Oreochromis niloticus: one gene and its partner. The protein of the gene in region 2 interacts with the protein of the main gene of each other region in a pairwise test. Links are inferred from orthologs where the notes say so. Each region holds a gene or a part of one and is shown on either strand. Other genes may lie near its edges.

Region 1 (7,845 bases), on a different chromosome or scaffold from region 2:
TGGCACAGGCTTTCACCATCTCACTGAACAGGCCAGACACATCTACACCTTGTGACATGGTCCTGAAATGGAAGGGGAAGTAGAAGGGGGACATATAAACAAGAAGAAAGACAAAAGCGGGAATGAATAAAGAGGGGACAGTCAGAGTTGAAATAGAGAAAGAAAGATTAGAGGAAAAGGAATAATGGGGAAAGAGACACATGGAAATGATAGGACACAGGAAAACATTTTAACATGACGTTTAACAAAAATATTCTTCTTACTAACAAAACTTTGTCAGTGCCCAGATATTTAAAAGAACGTGTGACTGCAGAGAAGAATATTTCTGCAGGCTTCTTGAAAGAGATCCAAAGCTCTTCTTTGGAAGCTGGTTGCCTTTTGTTCTGTTCTCTACCAAGATGATCCCCCACTGCTTCAATAATATTCAGGTCTGGGCTCTAGGGAGGCAAGAGCACCATTGTGGGTTTTTCTCTTTAGGTTTGTTTTTACTGCATTGGTACTCTGTTTGGAATCATTGCCGTGCTGACAAACAGATCCACTGACAATCAGATGCTTTTGCACAGTAGATCAAATCTGACAGTACTTTTCTGTCTTCATCAGTTCTTGTTCTGTCATGCTCCCCAACACACCGGCTGAAATCCAGCCCCAAACCACCAGAGCCTCCACCATGTTTTCAGACACCATTCAACTGCTGTAGACAGTGTTTCTTAAGCCTGCCACTTCTTCTTTTGTCCTCAGTTTCTTTAGGGGCAGCCTGCACATCATTTTGAGATAGTTTTAGGCTAATAGTTTTAACCTCATTAGAGCAAAAATACTATTTCATGTCTTTCAAACTGAATTACTGTTGGCATTTCTGTAAATTTAACAGAAGAAATTGGACCAAATTATGTATTTTTGCAAAGCTGCTAGTAACAAAGAGCCTAAATAATACAAAGAATACAAAACACAAATTAGGTCTTTGCTAAGTTGTCTGTTATGTGTAGACACAATCCCTTGAGTTAGGCATCTTTTTATGCTTTAATGCTTCATTCATAAGTTAGTGATAAGTGTATAAAACAAACAACAAACACCCCTCTGAAAACAGTCAGGTACAAGGACTGGACTGGAAATGAGTAAAGAAGAAGTTGAGGTCTAAAGAAACACTTTAAAAAAACCTTGTGAAATATTGTTTAAAAAAAAAAAACATACAAGAAAGTCTGGGTCCTGAAAGCAAAATATAAAGAAACGAGGGGTGGCTCAAGACTTTGCACAGTACTGTATATCTTCATATAGTGACTTAATTTTCTTTTTAATGTTGCCCAGTGTTTAATATCAACATTCATTACTGGAAAAAAATAAGTTCACTTTAAACCTTCAGCTTACGTCTTTCCTTCAAATAATCTACTGCTTCATAGTGAAAACAGGATGATAAGCCCCCAGTCAGCAGTGATGTTAGTGAGATGTCACTAGTCCTTGCTGGTCTTAAGCCATTGAAACAAAGGGGAGTATTAGTCAAAACAACAGAATGTTACTACTGAGGGGTACGATTAGGACCTAGGAGCTGTTTAATCCTTATATGTTCACTTTCCTTTCCAACATTGTTCATATAAAAGGCGAATGGAACTTTGGGTCTTAACAATGAAGCCAATGTAAAAAAGAGCCGTGTTTTCCTGGGTCCATCTCCTGACAGCCTTCCATTTTGATGTTTCTCGGGGGAAACGTATTTTTCATGATCCTCAAATTGTATTTGAATAACTAGAACTAGATAACTAGTAAGTTTTATGTGTTTGTTTAATGTTACCTAACTTGCCACATTGTCTGTAATATGTAGTCTACACCAGTGTTTCACAAACTGAATACAGTTTTAACGCATCTGTTAACACAACCCGATTAAAAGTGGGTGTAGGCAGCTAATCTCTGCGATGGCACATCTTGGATGTTAAATTAAGCAGCTCACTGTTTTTTCTGTTGTTTCAACACTTCAGCTCTCTTTCCTTCAAAGACACAGCAAAGAGAGAGACTTTAAAAAACACACAAAAATGAATCATAGTGAGTCGAGCCACATGTGGAACTGTTCAATTGGGTGTAAAATGAATTTCATCAATTTGAGCTTCCACAATAAATAATCAAAATGTTAACAACGCTGACAACAATTTGCAACCATTTTCACTGCGATTATCTCATTTTCTTTTTATTCACAGTTAGATGCTTATGACTCGTCAGCAGTTGGAAGAATGTACTGAGACAAGTGTGCAGGGACTGTATCTCGATTTGTTAAACTTCATTACTGAGAATGTCTGTTCACATATCAAGCTAGATCCGAAGAGAACCAGCATCTTCTGAGTATGTCTCCTTATGTGTGGAAAGTTTCAAAGATGAGCAACCTGCTCTCCACCAGGTAAGCACACAGCATTACCTCTGATTTTAATAAATAACCTCTGAATAGAATACTGAATAGAAGTCAATGTCTAATAAAAGACTGCCAAACTCTTATCTCTCATAAACGTGGAATCTGCACATTTACAATGAAGCTGATTTCCTTATGCACACATATGCACGTAAATCTACAACAATAGCAGTCATCTTCAGAACCAACAAAGCTTTATTGTAATTTCCCATAAAAATTATGTCACTCTTTCGTATTTCCAGTTAGCTGCTAGCTAACACCTGCTTTTACAGTGACAATTAACTTAAATTGCATGGGGGATGGGGTGGGGTGGTAAGCAGGTTCTCAAAAGCAAATGTGTGCCCCGGGCCCCCTTTGACAGATGAATGCGGCCTTGCAGACAAACCGCAGCGCCTGGTGGCTGAGCACAGGGATGAGATGAGTACCTGATCACTTTGAGGATGGTGTTCCTGTACCGCAGCGGGTCTGACTGGACGTTAGGGTTGGACAGAGCTCTTCTCAGCTCCCTGACCGTCTCCTCCCCACCCAGATAAGGCATGGTGGCTAAGAGACAGAAAATATAATTCTGCTTGTCAGTAACAAGCAGGTCCAACTGCATCTCTGGTTGGTGGTTTGACAACACAGCCGGTGACCCAGCGTTCAGCCGATGAGATAAAACGCAAACCTTTTATATGACCCAGCAACACACGAACTTGCTAATTTTAAGAGCATTACCGTTTAGCACTTCGAAGGACGAAGTTCATCCGTAACAACACAACAAAAATGACTAGAATATTTACTCCCTCTACACGTCCGCATTTCTTCTTCATCGTTGTTTTTCTCGGTTTAATCCCACGCTGCTCTCTGCTGGCTGGCGTGAGTATAGCACGACAAAGGCAATACTCGCCCAGATCTGATACTTTGTTTATATTTCGGTGGAAAATGTTGCACTTTACTCCAATTACTCCATCTGACAGTGGTTGTTAGTCGTGTGCAGACCGACATAGGGTACAGTCTTATAGATTTAACTGCCCAGAGCAGAGCTGGATTAACCCACTGCAGGCACCCAAGAAACTGTTGACTTTCAGTGACCCTTGTTACATTCTTTCTTTGAGCATAGTGTTGCTTAAAACAGAAAAGTAAATACATACAGCAAAAAAGATCAAATTTGTAGACCCAACAACCAACTATTAAACTAAATGATCTTTCAGGTCCCTGGATATATATATAACCTTTATTTAACCAGGAAAAGTCCCATTGAGATTAAGAACCTCTTTTTCAAGGGAGTCCTGGCCAAGAGGCGACAACACCAGCCTGGATGTCTGGGACCATACAGTCCTTTTCTACTCTTGGCCGATAATGAGACTTTATATAACATAAGAATAAACTCAAATAATTATGACAAGACTGCTATAATCAAAAGAAAATAATTTTTTTAATCATGCACATGGATGTTGGTCCATATGCATACGTGGAAAGTCAGAAGCTAGGAGAGTAGCAGCAAGAGTTCAGTTCCTTTACATTAAACATTAAATTGTAGAAGTTTTCCTATTGAAACTGATATATCCCATGATGCTGATGCTCAAAGTTGGTTATGGAAAAAATGGGGAAAACAATATGATTTTGACTCAATATTGTTACATTTTGCTTCAAATTGATTTGGTTGAAATTACAGAAAACATGTGATGCATCTCTTCCGTCCAGAACATTTCATCTTCGTTTTATCCTGCACTGATGTTTATGCAGGATCAAAAATGGTGGCACAAATAAGGTGATTTAAAATTAACCAAAATTCAACCTACTCCTGTGTACTTATTCTTGTGTTGTCCGGGGAGGGACTCACTGATTTCCATGGAAATCCCTCAGACAGCATCAGGTTTACATGCAAACACACAGGGATCAGCTATCTTTACACAGATCACTTTGGTAACCCAGTGTAAATCAGGCCGTATGCCGCCATAACATTCTGCACACGTAGCCATTTGAAGATGACAAAATCCAGAATTTAACTGAAAAACCGTTAGCAGTGCTTTTGCATATATTGATCCACCCAGTAGATCAATACTACTCTATTTACTCCAGGTAGGTCTCAGTGGATTTTTTTTTGTCTTCCACAACAAGATCATGCTAAATGAGGCACATGCCCCATTTAGCATGATCTTGACTGAAGAAACCAAAACAAACAGTGAACGTGTGTGTGTCAGTCCCCCAAAGTAAAATGGGTCAACGGTCTTAATCTCAAAATGCTGGAGTAGCTATTAATCTAGAAATGAATATTATTTGAGAGGAACATTTGTGAGCTTGGACAATGTCTGAATGTCCAAGTCAACACCAGTGATGGAGCAGCTGTCTGAGCAGCTTAATGTTACAAATATACTAGCAAGCAGGATGACTGATGCTAACAACATGGCAGTACAGTCCTGACATGACTGGTGTATGCTTGTATTAAACATGACCGAAGGTTCAAATAATGAACTCATTGTATGTACTAATCCCTGTGAGGCAAAAGATCAGGCTTCAGACTGCCCCAAACCCCTTAAAATGTTATTCTTAGCACTTTTCAGTGAACTTTGTGTAAAAATGAAAATGTGCCTTACACTACAGTTGCATAAGACCCAAACAGCACTTTGGTCTAAATTGATGATGGGTTTATTTGATTGTGAAAAGCAAAAGATCTACAAACACAGACAGCACTAGACCTCCAGCACTGAAAGTCCAATCCCTGATCCAGAGACAAACATCCACTCTGCCCGGCCCTGCTGGTTGGGTTTTGAAAGACAGAGCTTCATTAACAAGGAAGGGCGGACTTTGTGCTTGGGCGGTCAGTCGACTGTCAATCCAGGTGGACAATCTGAACACAGCCCAACGGGTCCCAAAGGAAGCTGCTCAAACCTTCCTCTGGATGGTGTGGGCAGTGCCAGGTTCCAGGAGTGACACATCATTTCTTTTCCACATTAAACCGTCACCAAATTAACACATTTAATGTTAGCCATCCATCCTAAAATAAATCACCCGAATCCAACCATAACACACACACACACACACACACACACACACACACACACACACACACATCTCATTATTTGCTACTTTGGGCAAGTATGATTCAGTATTTTTCCTTTTTATAGAACTGAAACTAATTTTCCAGAAGCTGTTTATGATTTTGATAAATCATATAAAACAAGTTTTCTATATGAAAGGCAACAGGGAAAAATAATGGTGAGAGAGGCAGTACAGCATTGTGCCCTGAAGTTACAACATGAAACATGAGAAGTACACCATGTTTTCGCAGCTTCTTCTAAAGCTGGAGATGGATGCTGCCTGTGGTCCATTTCCTCTCTCAGTGGATCACATGACACTGGGTTTCTTCTGTGCACTGTCAACTTTTTGACAGAAAAGGTAGATGGGATGAACAACAATTAATACACACATAGACACACTCATTCTCTCTCGCACACACACACACCAGAACAGTATCAGAGGGTGACAGTGTCTATGACACATTGGGGCTTGGGTCAGGGCTGGTGGAGCTGTTTTCCTGATTTGCTGCCTGGCTTCCTCGGGGTGGAACCTCAATAATGCGGGGTTTGTCAATGATGCGAGCATGGCGGTCGCCTTTCTCCACGATACCAATAATCCATGCCCCGCCCACCGCCCCCTGACCCCCTGCTCCAGAGCTGAGGTTTTTCATCTCTGAACAGAACTTGGCTGCCTGCTCTCTGGGCAGACACACCAGCAGCCCACCTGGAGAAGAGGGGGGAGAAGGGATGTGAGTTCCTAGCTTTAAATACTGCATTTATTCAAATATAACCACGTTTAATGTCACCGGTCATACCGGAAGTCTCAGCTGAAGTGCCCTGAAGCAGGTTAAACAGGTTTCCGCAGGCTTTACTGATGGCAGCCATCTTGGCTATGATTGGAAGGTTATGGATAACGAAGGCCACCTCGTTTTGCTGCTGTCTTGCCAGGTTGTTGGCGTGACCCAACAAGCCGAAACCAGTCACGTCTGTGGCAGCGTGGGCCTGGTACTTGTGCATTAGACCTGCCGCTGGAGGCAAAATGTGAATGAGCCAGAGTAAAACCACAAGAAAGAAAAGGGAAAATAAATTAATCAATAACAGCTGATATAAAGTCTGCCAACTGTAATTTAAACATTATTTAATTAAATAGTTAACTAATAATACACTTGCATGACCACTAATGACTGCAGAGCTTAATCAAAGTAGTGTACCTGTGCGGTTAAGGGTTGCCATGGAAAACATAGCTTCCTGATAGGCCTCTATAACTTCCTCTTTGGTGACGACCAGCTTGATCTTGTTCCACTTTTCAGGCTGGTAAAACAAAAACAGCAACAAGAACATTAATCTTCAAAGCCCAGGTTGGTTGTTTCATGAGCAATCCAGTGCTTCTATACATTTCTACATGCACAATAACCCACACACGGCAGCTGTGAACCTTTTCAGGAAGGAGAACTGTCAGCAAACAAAACATTTTCTTGTTACATGGACACGAACACTGTCAGCAGTCTTGGGCGTTTCATTAAAGCACTGGAGCAATTTTAGCTCATGTGACCAGTAAGTAACCAATAAGTATTGTCTTTCTTGTAAACATTTTTTCAAATGTATCGACATGCAATTCTCACCAGATATTGTCAACCACCCATCCAATTCACACAAGCAAAGAAATCAAACCATAGATGTCCATAAACTAGGTTATATGTAAAAATTAGAAATGACACAGGGTACTGAACATGTGATGAAAGGGAGGTACAAAAGGGCATGGGAACTCCTGATACCAGCTGAAATCTACCAGTAACTAGACAGCAATTCCGCCACTTAGTGCCAATTAATATCATAGTGTGGCGCTGTTTACAGCATACGGCGCTAGCACGCTTCATATAACACTGAAGGAAGGATGAATGGAAAAATGTACTGAGACATTCGTGATAAAAGTCTGCTGCCATCTACCAGGATGATGACGATGAAACGAGGGTGATGTTTCAGCAAGACAATGATCCCAAACATGCAGACAAGGAAACTCAATTGGTTTCCTGTGGCAACATTGCACTTAATATTTCTGTGAACAGAGTTGAATGGCTAACCTGATCAATCCACAGATAAGCGTTTACAGCCACCCGAGTGCCCAAAGGTTTAGTCAGCACCAAAACGTCACCTGGTACAGCCCCATCAGGCCTGGAAAATAAAACGTAAACGTAAAACATGTAAATCTTTGCATTTTGTGAATCATAACTTTTCATAATGCGTTTTGCATTATGAAAAGTTGCTCTTTGTTTCTTTGTCTTCACAGGCATCTCTGCTAACGAGGCACTAGCAGAACTTTTATTGTTCATCAGAATTTTATTGCTGATGAACAATAAAAGTTAGTCACACCCAGAATATTGCAGCTGTAAGAGATAAGAATGCAGGGCTTCCCACAACACAGAGTTGACTTGTGTGGTCCCCCATATTTCACAGCTGCTC
Region 2 (7,172 bases):
CAATAAAAAAAAATACTATATATATATATATATATATATATATATATATATATATATATATATATATATATATATATATATGTGTGTGTAATAAAATGAAAAAGCTCAATTAATAATATTAAAAAAAGGCAACTGAATACAATCAGAAGTTTAATAAAAAACTAATTAAAAATGAGAAACCAGCTCATAGAAAAGAACCAGCCCAGGCTGTTGTGTTTTCAATGCGATTTTGGTGCACTGACTCTTTGATGAAGTGTTGGCTCTCCTCTCTGGAAAGGAAAACTTTGGAGCCTTCAGTCAGTTTATTGATGAGTGCCATCTCCTGACCACAATCCCCTAGCTGCAAGGCCTCCACCCTGGAAACCACACAAAGTATGAGAGGAAAGTAACAAACTTGAAGAAAACACAGGTTTTTTGTGCTTATAATGCTCAGGAACATGACTTATTGCATAGAAAAACTAACAATCCTGGCAAGAATTTTATTCTTAAGTGACCAGTAAACATTAAACTACACAAACTGCACACAGAACATTTGGAGATTATGCTACAAGCTCCTGAATGTGACTGCACTGGAATGAAAACAGTTGGTTTAACAAACTAAAACCATCTTCAAACATGAACAATTTTCTGAGGTTTCCTTTTCTTGTGTGTCACACAACAGGAGATATGCACTGTCACTGTACAGGCATTGGGTAAAGTCTGTTTAAAATCCAGTACCTGCTCTCAGCTAATGCATTAAAAAGAAAAAAAAAGACTCGAGTGCATGATGTGTTAAAAAGGTTAAACGTTTTTGACACTGACCGATCTGATAGGTCCCCACTGCTCTCTCTGCTGGTCCCTGATTGGCTTCCTGTGCCAGCTGACTTGCTGCCCACCGACGCCCTGCTATTGGCAGCGATGTCCTGAGAGGAGTTGTGAGAGGAGCTGTTGCCACTGTCCGTCTCTTCCCAGCCACCTCCTACCTGCCCAGGGCACCACTTAGTCACTGGTGAAGTGAAGACACATGAGGAAAACCTTAATTTATAAACATCTGTTCGCTACTAAGGCTTCAGTTTATACTTTCTCTCAATCTTGCCTCAATAAAATGCGTAATTGTGCCAGCTTCATTTCTGACCTTTCGGTCTACAAGCAGGCAGATTATAGGCACACGCTGGCACGGCCACTTCTATGGGTGCAGAAGGCGCCACCACGGCCCGGTAATGGTTGTCATGGAGACGGATCCCCTGATGCTCAGTAGGGGGAAGGACAGCGCTCGCCACCACCTCAGCTGCTTTCTGAATCTTATCCAGAAGTGAGTCGCTGCCTGCTGGAAGGCACAGGTCCAGAAATTTACACACGCAGTAAGTTTGATTTGTATGTACTGTGCAGCTCTGCTTCCCTCACCTGTCCCCTGCTTTCTTGGACTGTATCCAAAACCCTGCATTCCTGATCTGTGGGAAGTGGCCGATCCCATACCTAAATAGAATGAAACAAATTAACTATTGTACACACAATGCAATTCAATGACTACTTCTTTCATCCCATCTACAGATACCCATTCTCTTCTATTACTTGTTTATTACATGGAGCTAAAGTCAAACCTGGTAGCAAAGTGATGTACAATAGTTTGGCATACAGGATGTAGTACATATATTTGGGTTCCTAAGTCTTTAAAGCTTATATCTTTGATTAGGAAAATTATACTTTCTAATTCGTTTTTGAGTTATCACTTTCACAAACTTGGGTGTCCACGTCGCCCGGCCGCCTGCCCATCTTTTAAAGATGAGTGCCGTTTATGGTCATAATCAATGTGTGTTAGCACTTACCCATTGTCGGTGGGGCAAGATTAAGTGAAGAAATGCTGTTTTTGGAGGGAATGACATCTGTGAAAAGTAAGCGGGCCACTTCCTGTAAATGGATGAACAACGAAAAAAAAGTTCTTATTCAAGCTACCTTCCATTTCTGTATAACTGACTATATTGAGATGAAAATACAAAACAACCCGTGTTGTACCTGTGCTGTATTCCTCACTTTCTCATATAATGCTGTGCCATGGATGGGATCAGGAGGGCCGCTGTAAACTTATCGAATAAAAATTACCCAAAGTGAATATTTATGAACGATGCCAGCAGCAAAATAATGAAAGTTGAAAGCACAAATGAGAAAAGTCTAACCGGATGCTTGCTGGATGAAGGTGGAGTTCCTTCTGAGTTCTGTGAGGAAATGGTTGGACCCATGACCACAGAGGTGGACAAAGATCTTCAGCACCTGATACACCAGAAGCAAGAACAGAACCCACACTTACTCATAAACTGCAATCAGCAATGTACAGGTCCTTTAAAGAGACAGAAACAGTAGCAAAAGCAATTCTCTCACCTTCAGTTTGACATGACAGGACTCCACTTGTAGCCTCTCCAGGAGGTATTCCAACAAACACTGACCACAACCTGAAGACTCATGGGAGATTTCTACAGTGTGCTTAGAATTAAGGTTATAACACTTCATCATACAGGAATTACTATTCCCATGGTTCAGTGGGTATAAACATTTGACTGATAACACACTTCACACACAGAAAAATATCATTTTAACCTATCATAGCCATGTTCAAGGTATGTATCCATCAGTGACTATGTAAAGTCATGGCCACAGCCTACTTATACAGCCCTAACATGCAAAAGAGGCCAGCAGGAGTAGGAACTTTTTGCAGATCAACAGCAGAAGCAACTAAAGGATACTTCCAATCTCCTGGAAAAGGTAGCCAGGACAGGGGTTTTCATCATCTGCTGTAGCCTTCATCAGGGTGGGCACCTTGGATAGTTAGACGAAATTGTGGTTTACCACTTCAGTTGACCGCAAACTGACCCTTAAACCAGTGTGCAGCATTAAGTTTTAACGAAACAACCTGACACGTCCAGTGAAACACAGAAAGTAAAAAGCCAAAAGATGTTGGTTAAGGTTGTTAGCTAGCAGGCTAAAAGAAAGCTATGGTTTCGCAAAAGCTAATAGATTTAAATAAGTACGTCAACGCTACGTGACATTTAACATGTTCGTTTTGGCTTCTCTGTGTTCTTTTTTTAAAAATAACGACTGTCGATATTACTTACTTTCTGAAGAAAGGCTAATCGTTCCATAAATGTTGCCATGATTTAGCAGTCCCAGCTGCGGGTTACTCATCTTCCTTCGAGGCGTACGACAGAAAGGCGGGGTTTGAGGTGACCGCTAGCCAATAACAAAACACTAAGCAGCAATCCTCGACTCTATTGGCGTTCTGGTTAAACCAGGAGGTAAAAGATAACAAATCAACCGTCAGAAACGGTTTGACTGACAAGGAAATGAACGAATCATAGTTCAGGATTTTTATGGGCGTAGACAGTCGTCAACATGGCGCTGCACAGGGTTTTCACCGGAGCGCCGTCTGTTAGTTGATATAAAAATAATTTCGGTTCTTTTGAGTTGTCAGAGATTTTAAGAACTTGACACGAAAATATTGCTGCTTCTTTTTTTAATCGTTGACTTAAAAAAATTTACCAGATATTAAAACAAATCTATTTACGCCTGAGCAGCAGCATGTCTGGGTCAAATGTCTGGAGTCGCACTAGGGAGAAAATGAGACTTTTCCCGGAACTTTTTGCACAGTGTGCGAACGAGGTAAGTACAGGATGGGAAAATACTGCTTGGTAGATTATCCTTTGAACGGGTTCAACTCTGGAACCTCTCTTCTTCTCATTAAATATGATTATACTTATCTGCCTCTCCCATCAAAGCCAGCTGCCATCTCTACAGCAGCTCCCAGTAGGGGACATCCAAAATATTTCCTCATTTAAGCTTTTAACAATATACACGTGCTGCCGTGCACTTTATTATCTCAGGATGTAGGTTACTAATTAACATATTAGAGCATGGTTTAGCTTCTGGTGAATTGTTGGCAATAAAGTTAATGTGCCAGTTCTTAATAAACAAAACAGTGGAAATTTGTTAATAAAACATTGGTCCAAATAATTAAAGTAATGCAGTTATTTATTACATGGACAAATGTGCTTCCTGTGAAGTTTTAATTTGTGTTATTCAGGCAGCAGTGTATGGAAAGTGTGTAGCTGCTACCACAACAGGCACACAGGAGCTGAGGAAGGATCTGTGTGCCAAAGAGTTTGAAGCACTGAAGATCTGCTTTACCAATGCAGTAAGTGCCAGTGTCAGCAACTGTCACACTGAAAGGAGATCTGTTTAATGCTATCCATTTACCTATTTATATATTTGTTTTTTATTACAGGCCAAAAAAAGAGCCAGATGAATGGAATTCATCCAGGCTTATCTGGACCAATCTCAAGAAGACCGAGTTGACTGACTTTTGATGCTGGGAACAGTTTTTCATGTCGGTGTGGTTGAGATAAGCCATTAAGAACTGCCATAGTCTTTAACGTGAAAACCTGTGTGTGTCTGTGTGTAAATAAATAAATAAATAAATAAATAAATAAATAAAACCCTGACTTTGATGTTTCGATATATGAGCTTTATTAATTTTTATCAGCAAAATGTACAGAAATAACATGCATGTAGAAAAATAGTCACAAAAATAGCCTCTTTTATAAAGCAAAGGTCCAATGTGTTGAAGTGCTAGCCAATGAAAGACAATACAGAAGTCCAAAATACCTTCCATTATTATATCTTCAAATAAGATCATTTAGTGGAAGAAAAAGACCAGATATTGAGGGGAAAAACTGCACATTTTGTTTGAATAAAATATAGGCTGTAGTATGTTAAGTGGAAGGCACTAATAAATCAACCTGGAAGAAATACTAGGAATAAAGATGGAATGATTAGAAACTACAGGTATTGATCCAGGTTGTCTGGTTTGAGCTGCTCTGTTGTCCACAGTTTATGGAAATAGTAAGGCTACTCTATATCTCAAAACTCCAGCGTGTAGTTAAATACCTCATTTTGAAAGCATGAAGCAAAAACACTATCAAGGGGCCTGAAGCCACAGTACATTAAATTTGGGGTAACCGGGTTCTATAAGAAAATACATGGATCACATTTAAAAGCATTTACAACATTTACAAAGACCAAGGAACAACTGAATGACCAAAGGAGTACATGTGACTCAAATACGAATATCGTTCCTGTCAAAAACGCTCCACAGAAAGGTAATTGCATAGATGTATATACACGTTAAACCTTTTTAAACCGTTTGACCTTTTCAAAATTTTCTCTGGAAACAAAAATAAGTTAATATTTACATACACTTTTGCTTTGATAAAGACTTTGGGTTCCTGGCAGATTACACAGTATCAAGAAAAACAACACGGTCCACTTCTTAACAACTCTGAAGGCAAAAGAGAATATAAGGCAGCGATATCACGGTCCACAGTATTAGGAGGTTCTGCAGGTCTACAGTATGTGTTTGACCGCTAAATAAGAATGTGTGTGTGTTATTTAGCTTCTTCATCCTCTGAGGCCTGTTTAATCTGCCGTGTGTGTACCCTTGCCCCAGCCAGTAGCTGCCCCTCAAGGGCTGCGTGCAGATCTGGCCCCCCCAGCTCCAGCAGGGGCTCCAACCCTGGAACCCCCCTGGACGCCTCAGTGTCCTCCAGGGGCCCTCTAGCCTCTCCGAGTGACCTACGCCTCCGCTTCAGATCTATCTCTCCCTGCTTCCTAACCTTCTCGTGGGAGCCCTGGGGGTGAACCTCGCCATCTTCCTCCCCTTCTCCGGGTTCTGGCTGAGCAGCAGCGTTCTCTTTGAGGTCTCGTCCTCCTTTCTTCAAAGCCTCACCATCAACTCTCTCGCCCCCCTGTGCAGCTTTTCCAGCATTTTGAGCTTCTATGGCCTGCTGCAGCTGAAGCAGCCTCTCCTGAGCCTCCTGCAATGCCGCCTCTTTCTTTGCTTTCTCAAGTATTTCATTGTCCGCTTTCTGCAGCTCTTGCTCGTATCGCTCTTTTGCAGCTTTGTCGCGTGCAAGTTTCTCTTTTAATGCTTTTTCTTTCTCAAGCTCTTGCTCTCTGATCAGATTCTCTTTTATTTCCCTTTCCAGTCGTTCTTTTACCAGCCTTTCTCGAACTTCTTTCTCTATCTTCTCCCTCTCCAACTCTTGTTTGGCCACCATTTCCTGTCTTTCCTTTTCTATCCTTTCTTTCTCCAACCTTTCCTTTTCTTTTCTCTCCATTTCTAGCCGTTCTTTTTCTAATCTTGCCTGAACTTCTTTCTCTATCCTTTCTCTCTCTGATCTTTCCCTCTCCAACTCCTCTTCTCTGGCGAGCTTTTCCTTTATTTCCCTCTCCAGCTGTTCTTTTCCTTGATCTTCTTTGCCTACCACTTCTTTCTTAAGTTTTTCAATTGCCTCTTCTTCTTGTAACTGGGCTGCATGGTCATTCTGAGCCACAGGTTCAAGTTTTTGCTTTCCCAATGGCACTCCCCTCGCCCCAACCTCACTTTCCTTATGTGATTCTCCTGCGAGTGCAACATTTGCATCCTCTTTGTAAGCTGCTGGTACGGCTACTTTTGCAGGGTTAGCTTCAGCACCTTTATCTTCAACCTGAGCTTGACCCTGGGCCAGAGCATGAGCCTCATTTCCGCCATCCTGTGGAGCTCCAGCTCCCTCCTTGGACTGCTCCAGTCCAGACTCCTTAGGTTTTGCTGCTCCACCTTCCATCATCTCTGGTTGTCCTTGGATGACTTTCTCACCATCGCCTTCAGCAGCGCCCCCTTTAAATGCAAAAATATCACATTTAAGTTGAGGGCCACCACCTATAATAGCTGTGTTTTCTTTACAAGTTGTCATGACTACAAAAAGAAAAAAAATGGGTATATACACACACCAGCAGGTTGTTTCTGGTGGATTTCCTTGTGTTGTTCTTCTATGACAGCCAATAGTTTTTCCTGTTGGTCCAGAAGCCTTTTCTGTTGTTCTTGTTGCTCCTTAATGACCTGCAGAAGCACCGCGTGGTCCAGCTGACCCTCTACATGGAAACAAACCATACAAAAACATTTAATTAAAATAAGTAACGACCTGCTCAGAGAACAGGGCATTAGTTAGGAGGCTTAATAAAACTAGGGCCAGACTCTGGGGGTGAGGGGGGCAGACAGGAAACAGTTAATAATCTACTACTTCCAGTTAACACGCTTTTCTACACTGTAGCCTTAAACAGGCAGGTGTGGACACAGATTATGTTAAGAGGCAATGTGAGTGGGTGCT

The links. The genes of interacting proteins can lie anywhere in the genome.
Region 1: the proteins of tepsin (region 2) and ap4b1 interact in binary tests that used the Homo sapiens proteins (3 or more experiments, as listed by UniProt). The link is inferred for Oreochromis niloticus from reciprocal best matches to the Homo sapiens genes TEPSIN and AP4B1.

Annotation. Positions count from the first base shown.
Region 1 is NC_031984.2:33,205,863-33,213,707, reverse strand, and holds the start of ap4b1 (AP-4 complex subunit beta-1), read right to left. Parts: upstream 3,220-7,845; 5' UTR 2,985-3,219; coding exon 2,812-2,984; intron 63-2,811; coding exon 1-62.
Region 2 is NC_031973.2:20,314,364-20,321,535, forward strand, and holds the start of tepsin (AP-4 complex accessory subunit Tepsin), read right to left. Parts: upstream 3,258-7,172; 5' UTR 3,126-3,257; coding exon 3,087-3,125; intron 2,846-3,086; exon of another isoform or gene 2,791-2,845; coding exon 2,718-2,790; intron 2,448-2,717; coding exon 2,356-2,447; intron 2,248-2,355; coding exon 2,154-2,247; intron 2,061-2,153; coding exon 1,993-2,060; intron 1,888-1,992; coding exon 1,806-1,887; intron 1,456-1,805; coding exon 1,384-1,455; intron 1,307-1,383; coding exon 1,115-1,306; intron 986-1,114; coding exon 802-985; intron 357-801; coding exon 243-356; intron 1-242. Other genes in the region: ndufaf8 (NADH dehydrogenase [ubiquinone] 1 alpha subcomplex assembly factor 8), read left to right, coding at 3,550-3,630, 4,052-4,162, 4,253-4,273; slc38a10 (putative sodium-coupled neutral amino acid transporter 10), read right to left, coding at 5,412-6,682, 6,796-6,936. UniProt on the Homo sapiens protein: Associates with the adapter-like complex 4 (AP-4) and may therefore play a role in vesicular trafficking of proteins at the trans-Golgi network.